Linked DNA regions of Kluyveromyces lactis. Each later gene encodes a partner of the first gene's protein in a complex. Links are inferred from orthologs where the notes say so. Each region holds a gene or a part of one and is shown on either strand. Other genes may lie near its edges.

Region 1 (4,008 bases):
ATTACTTTACTGCTCTTTGCACCCAGGCAATCATTGGTAACTGGGACAGGGCCTTGGGCACAGGTACTAATTCTCCTTCACCTCTTGCTGTTGCTGCATCTGAAAATGGTACTTTAACTAATTCCTACATGTCATTCTCAACATCGTACGCCGACTCCGGTTTGTGGGGTATGTACATTGTGGCTGATTCTCAACAACACGATATAAAGTTAATCATTGACGAAATTTTAAAAGAGTGGAAAAGAATTCGGTCCGGACGTATCTCGGACGATGAGGTAAACAGAGCGAAAGCAAGATTAAAAGCCTCTCTACTTCTTTCTCTAGATGGATCGACTGCAATAGCTGAAGATATTGGAAGACAAGTAGTAACGACTGGTAAAAGGTTATCACCAGAGGAGGTTTTCGAACAAGTTAATAAAATCACAAAGCAGGACATTATAATGTGGGCAAATTATAGGCTGCTCAATAAACCTGTCTCTATGGTTGCTCTAGGTAATGTCAAAACGGTTCCATCTTTATCATACATTCAGACTAATATGAATAACTAAGTAACAAGTAAATATCATAAATCATAATTGCATCAAATATAGACAGGTACATTTATTCCACGTATTCTATATAATAAAGGGTCTAATTCCACTAGCTAGCACCAAAAACCAGCTTGACGCCAGTCTGTCAGTTATTTCAATTTATTCTTCTTTATTTTGTAGAGTTTCATTTAATTCTTCTTCCTTCCCGTTGGCATTATTGCTGAACACATCTGCTTCTTCTTCTTCCTCATCTTGGTCTATATCCTTGAATACGCTATCTCTTGGAATACGCTTCATGACTTCCGGTTTGTCAAACAAAGGACCAATCTTGCTTATCCATCTTTGTCTCTTATCCAACAAAGATTTTAGACTCGAGTTAGCGGCTTGTTGGTGAGCTGCCTGAATAGCTGCCTGAGATGTTGATCCGGTTGCTAATGAATCCGGCCCAGGTGTATATTGCCTCTTTTTCTTATTTTTCGGCGCACGAATACGTTTGATATATGCTTGGTCAACTTGCTTATCAAGATTGTCCAATATGGTACAGTACTCTTGCCATGCGAGCATCCTCTCCAATAACGGTAGAAGCATTGCCTTTCTTTTGGTATTCTTAGTAGTCACTTGACGTAGTGTACTCTGCAGCTCTCTTAGTTCAGCACTAATCTCATCATCTTCCCTTCCGGTCAACCAATCCGGGTCTTCACGTGTTTTTCCTTCTTCTCTCGGTAGATTCATATATATACCAACATACTTTAATTCCCTTTTCAAGCGTTCCTCAAAAGAAACATAATCAATATTGGAATTGTTTGCAATCGCTCCATGTTGTTTGAATATCCCGTATGACGAGGAGGATGATGGGGTAACATGTTCAAGCTCACTTACTGGTGTTGATACTGATGAATCGAGTGTGGGGTTTGTCGGTAATTCTTCCTTAGGAGCTATAATATCATCATCCTTCAGTATAGCACTCAAAAGCCTTGAGACTAGCGGGCCACAAGACACTTCTTCATTGTCAAGTACACCATCCGAAATGTCATTCCCTGATTTCTTAGGCAAGATACTAATAGGATCACTGATAGGTGGAGGAGTCAGATTCGCAATGTTTTGATTATTGTCTTCTTTCAACCACACGTCTGTGTATAGTGGTCCTAATTTAGGAATTGTGTATGGAGTCACTTCGGGGTCATAAGATTTCACAAACTGCAAATTTTGTGGCATGATGAATTTGTTTTGAAGGAATTTGATATCGTCATCATTGAATTCTCTGTAAAAGGCCTCGATGGATGAGAGAAAAGTATTAAACTGAATTTGGTTTGTGGGTTTAGGTTTCGAGAAATCCATATCAGGCAGCTCACCGGGTAGAAGTTCCTTTAAGTCATTTGTAGGATAGCTTACTACCCCGTATTTCTTTTTCAAATATTCCTCACCAGTAGCTTCAAGACCCTCCTCTTGAAACAAACCTAATCTCATTGCAGCAGCAGGTAACGTTTGAGATACTACAAATTCAGACTTGGGGTTTCTAATGTTAGGATCATTTTCCATTTTATCAATATCTAGCTTTGCTTTCTTTGATATGTGACCATCTGATGATAAAACTTCCGCTTCTTCAATAGTATCTTGTGGCCTTTTGTCTGTCTCCTCGTTCTCTTCTGTAATTGATCTTTTATCCGATACGACTTCGCTAGATTCATCAAGTTTTTTATTAATTGAATCATTTTCTGCGTTCTGGGCTGCAAGGTTTGTTGCAGCTTCTGCTTCCTCCTTCTCTTTTTGTTTCTCATCTTCGAGCCTTATTATATCTTCCCGCATTTCCTTGATTAGGTCTAAATTCTCTTGATCACTAGCTGCAATTTTCTCCAAACATTTTCCTAGATTTTCTAGTTGATCTTTAGTTGTTTGCAAAACCGGTTTCTCAGGAACCGACCTCACGTATTTACCGTTCAGTAAACCTATGTCATTCTCAAAAGTCAAGTCTAAAGACTTCAGCATCGAATTTAGAATATTCGACGGTTCATGTAGCCCAGCGTCATCTCTTTTCTGCTCTCTTATTCCTTTGCCTCTTCGCGTATTCCTTGACATAATATACCAGTGGTGTTTTACTGAGTGAAGATCTGGTTTAGCAATCTACTTGATTCCACCTTTGTCCACTGTTGACTATCGTTAAAAGATAGGCTGCTTTCCAGCTTTGGCAATATTAATGACTTTGTTCTGTTTGTTGCTTCGTTGTTTATCTTCCGTTACTTTGACAGATATTTTCATAGAAAATTTATTATCACGTGACCTCCGCCTTTTCTCTGCAAAAAATTTTCCAAGTTTACCAGAAATACCAATAATCCTCGATACAACACCAATCGGAACCAGAGAAAGCCAATTATATTCAAAGTGTTAAAAGGTCTGCGATAACGTAATCATCTTAGGCACTCAACAATGATTACTGGTGCTAGCGTGCAACGTACTGCATTCTTTTGTAGTAGACGTTTAAACTCCACCGTTACGAAAGAAGTTGCGACCATTTCCTCAACACTTTACAAGGATCCATCGAAATGGATCGGTTTGGATAGTAAAGATATCATAACGTTGCACAATGAAAGAAAGGCAAGACTAGGGCCCCTATATAAGCCTTGCGAAGAAGAGTTGAAAGCATTGTTACCCACTGCCGAAGCGTCTGGAATTCCAGCAAAACTTTTCAAAGAGTACTATCATAAGACACCTGAAGAAGTTGAGGCAGAAATGGGCATTGCAAGAGGTCTAGACGAGCATGTCAACTTGGATCAATATCAGTTTGATGATTTGCCATCACAATCACAAATTTTAGTTCATCAACATCGTGAACAACGTTTCTACAATCGTTTGGCAGCATTTGAACTTCCTTTACTTGCGCAGTATCGTCAAGAATATAAACGCCCTTCAACAAAGACTCATCCAGTAGCTTATCGTTATACAACATATCTTGGTGAAGAACATCCAAATTCTCGTAAGGTTGTCTTATCTGTGAAGACATCGGATCTCGGCTTGGAACAGAGGGAACTGCATAAGCTGCGTCTATTGGCAAAAACACGTTATGATTCTACTACAGATACTTTGAGAATGTCTTCTGATCGCTATGAAGAACCAGCTCAAAATGCAAAGTACTTAAACAGCATTCTTCTAGAATTACTCAAGGAGGCTAAAGATTTGAAAGACGACTTTGCTGATGTTCCTCTCGATAAAAGACATATCATCGCAAGACAATTGCGTAAGAAAAAGCGTGGGTACGAGTTCCCAGAAGAGTGGAAACGTCCACAAGATGCTCCAAGGAAAACAGTGGATCTTGTTGAGCTATTACACAAACAGCTTTGATCAACCTTTTAAAACACACAAAAACAACTGTAAATAGCCATATACGCACAAATTAATGACCAATTTAATTGTATAGCAACAGCCATCTATTCGTTAAAGGGTGAAAAGACAAACCTTACATATCTAAGATGATAGCTACTTC
Region 2 (3,336 bases), on another chromosome or scaffold:
CTTGACGGTCTTGGTTCTAACTCTACCCTACTCAAATAATATCAACGAATCGATTTGATCTTGTTAGTAAAAGTGGCTTCATTTTATATTGCTTCTGCGAAAACTTCCATGGAAGATAGACCTGAGAAAGAATTTGATCCTGTGAAGTTCATCATTTTGGGGGAAATAATTGGACATATGCGTTCGTTTCGTCAACTTTATTACATGTGAGAGACCTTTAACGTTAGGGTGATGAACTCCATTAATACTGTGTTGGATATGATGTTGTGGTAGCTCATATACTAATCAATGCAGGCCGTTTGCTTTATTTTGTTCCATTTTACATCAGACGGAGTTTTGATCCTTACTGTGGGTCACAATACTGGAACATGGTCATACATCACTCCTGACATGCCATAATGTTCAACTGGTGATTGGTACTTCCCAAATTGTGCAACTTTTAATACCTTTCTCACTTTCTATAGTTTTGTCTTCTTCCTCATCATTCTATTATTCTACAGTGACCAGTGCCAACCCAAAGTCCAGGTTATCTATTCCTCCTATAATCTCTCTTAATGTAGATTTTGGTCATTAGTCTACGTCTCCCGATCAATCCAGCTCTGGAAAAACACTTCTTCTCATAATCTCTTATCTTTATGGTTCTTTTCGCTTCAATTTGTCAGTTATCATCATGCTTAACGTACCATTTTGTATCGATTTAGTCCTTACGGTTGTTCCTTGTTTCAAATGCTAGAATAGTGTTAAACACGTACTGTCAACAATTGGTCTTGTAAATGTTACCGTAATCTTTAAAAGTTCATTATTACTAGACAGTATGAAATTTCATGGTGCAAACGTTGAAACAAACAGACTAACCAGGATTCACTCACAACCGGGGAACGGAAACGAAGCACAATGCAAAGGGAATACTAAGCTGGACAGAGCTAGGCAGAAGGTGTCACTGGAGGACACAATGTTACCGAAGGAACAGCTGGTAAGAGAGTGCGTGGTAGCATCCAAAGTGGGCAGAGATGGGACTCGGGAACGAAAGTGCGTCTCGTGTGGATGACAGCAAGCTAGACAGACATTCTGTCTTCCAGTACCAGTCCACACACCTTTCCCCTCCGTCCCAATTCTCTTACGAAGTGCCAAGTAGTATTTCCTCTTTTGGTTTTATCAAATTTTATGAAATTAGCGTTCTCGAATTTCAGGATTTTCAGATTTTTCATCCTTAATAAGAATGTAAGGATGTAACAGTCCCGCATTCTGTTCTCCTGTTTACATGGAAAGTTCAATTATGATGTTCTAAAGAATCAACAAGTGATTTCAAGAGAGTTTAAAGAATAAGTCAAACTCATTGATATAAAAAGATAACTAACTTCGAGGACCCGCAAACTGTTATAGTGATTTAGCTTTACATCTGTTTGACTTTGAACTGCTTCTCCTTGTTCAACCGTCACCATGTCTAACAAGTTCCATTGTGATATTTGTTCTGCAGATTGTACAAACAGAGTCAGAATAACATGTGCGGTGTGTCCAGAGTATGATTTATGTGTGCCATGCTTCGCAAAAGGGTTATACAACGGTAAGCACCGGCCAAGCCATGACTATAAAGTGATTGAAACCAACTCATACCCGATTCTCTGTGAGGATTGGGGCGCTGATGAAGAGTTACTGTTGATAAAAGGAGCCCAGACACTGGGATTAGGTAACTGGCAAGATATTGCGGATCATATCGGATCTAGAGATAAGGAAGAAGTTTATGATCATTATTTGAAGTTTTACTTGAACAGTGAACACTATCCTATTCCAGATATCACAAAAGACATTAATGAACCGCAAGAACAATTTTTGGAGAAAAGAAAGAAACGCATGGAAAGATTTAGGGAAAGGCCTTTGGAACCTCCTAGGAAACCGATGGCATCACAACCGTCATGCCATGAAGTGCAAGGGTTTATGCCAGGTAGATTGGAATTCGAAACGGAGTTCGAGAATGAGGCCGAAGGTCCGGTCAAAGATATGGTCTTCGACGCCGATGATCAACCGTTAGATATTGAAGTGAAGTTGGCTATTCTTGACATCTACAACTCGAGATTGACGACTAGAGCAGAAAAGAAGCGTTTGTTGTTTGACAATTGTCTGATGGAATACAGGAGACTACAAAGTCTCGATAAGAAGCGTTCAAAAGAAACCAAAGATTTGTACAACAAAATTAAGGCTTTCGCAAGAATCATGTCCCCGCTGGATTTTGAAGAATTCAGCAAAGACATATTGGAAGAACTTCGGTGTCGAACAAGAATTCATCAATTGCAAGAATGGAGGAGCAACGGTATCACTACTTTGGAAGCTGGTCTTAAATATGAACGTGATAAACAAGCAAGAATTATGACATTGGAAAGATTTGGAAGTCAAGTGTACTCTTCTTCTTCATCTAGTAACACTGCCCGTTATAGAGCTACTTCGGCCCATAGATCGCAAGCTGATTATGCTCAAAATTATAACGAAGGAAGTGGACGTAAGAAACTAATGACTATCAGTGACATTCAGCATGGGGCAGATTTCCAATTATTATCAGCTGAGGAACAGCAGTTATGCATAACGTTGAAAATTTTGCCAAAGCCTTACATTGCCATCAAAGAGGTACTATTCAGAGAATTAATACGGACTGCAGGTCAACTCTCGAAGAAACAGTGTCGTGATTTATTGAATATCGAGGCAACGAAGGCCAACAGAATCTATGATTTCTTCGTTTCTCAGAATTGGGTTTAATTAGAGTTATAAAACTGTGGAAATATTGGCTCCACTGCTTACCTTACTACTTAATGTCAAATATGTACATAAAAATGTGTATACAGTGTCTCATTACAGTTTCTTGATAATAGCATTCAAAATAGCATACTTCGAATCAGATTTATCCATATTGGATAATAGATGTTGGGTCAAATAACCAGAATATAATGTAGTAAGTTGTTTGGCATTCGTCTCATCTAATTTGCTGATGTATGCAGAATACTTTTTGAAGGACAATTGGAGACTGTCGATGTTTAATTCGCCGGCAGGCATGAATTTGATATTTAATGTAACATCATGCAATAATAATTCCACATATTTTTCTGGCATACTTTTCTCAAGGGAAATATTATAATGTTCGTCCTTTAGCCATTGCAATACGTGATTTATCAGATATTCTCTTTTTAAATCTTGAAATTCCGAAAATAAGTTGATATACTCGAGGCATCTATCAAACAGGTAGGACATAACGTTTCTGCTGAGCTCTTCATCGACTTGCGAATTGGTAACGGCGTAGTATCCTTGATGTTTCTTGACAAAAGATGTGCCCAGATTCTTCATTGCGAT

What was found. The genes of interacting proteins can lie anywhere in the genome.
Region 2: NGG1 (region 1) and ADA2 share a complex: the UniProt entries of both Saccharomyces cerevisiae proteins name them as parts of the ADA/GCN5 complex. The link is inferred for Kluyveromyces lactis from reciprocal best matches to the Saccharomyces cerevisiae genes NGG1 and ADA2.

The regions. Positions count from the first base shown.
Region 1 is NC_006040.1:1,523,348-1,527,355, reverse strand, and holds NGG1 (histone acetyltransferase NGG1), read right to left. Parts: upstream 2,607-4,008; coding exon 690-2,606; downstream 1-689. Other genes in the region: MAS1 (mitochondrial processing peptidase), read left to right, coding at 1-548; RSM24 (mitochondrial 37S ribosomal protein mS35), read left to right, coding at 2,955-3,866. UniProt on the Saccharomyces cerevisiae protein: Component of the transcription coactivator SAGA complex. SAGA acts as a general cofactor required for essentially all RNA polymerase II transcription. At the promoters, SAGA is required for transcription pre-initiation complex (PIC) recruitment.
Region 2 is NC_006038.1:117,086-120,421, forward strand, and holds ADA2 (chromatin-binding transcription regulator ADA2), read left to right. Parts: upstream 1-1,440; coding exon 1,441-2,748; downstream 2,749-3,336. Other genes in the region: RPS17B (40S ribosomal protein eS17), read right to left, coding at 1-27, 684-686; snoRNA-binding rRNA-processing protein UTP6, read right to left, coding at 2,842-3,336. UniProt on the Saccharomyces cerevisiae protein: Component of the transcription coactivator SAGA complex. SAGA acts as a general cofactor required for essentially all RNA polymerase II transcription. At the promoters, SAGA is required for transcription pre-initiation complex (PIC) recruitment.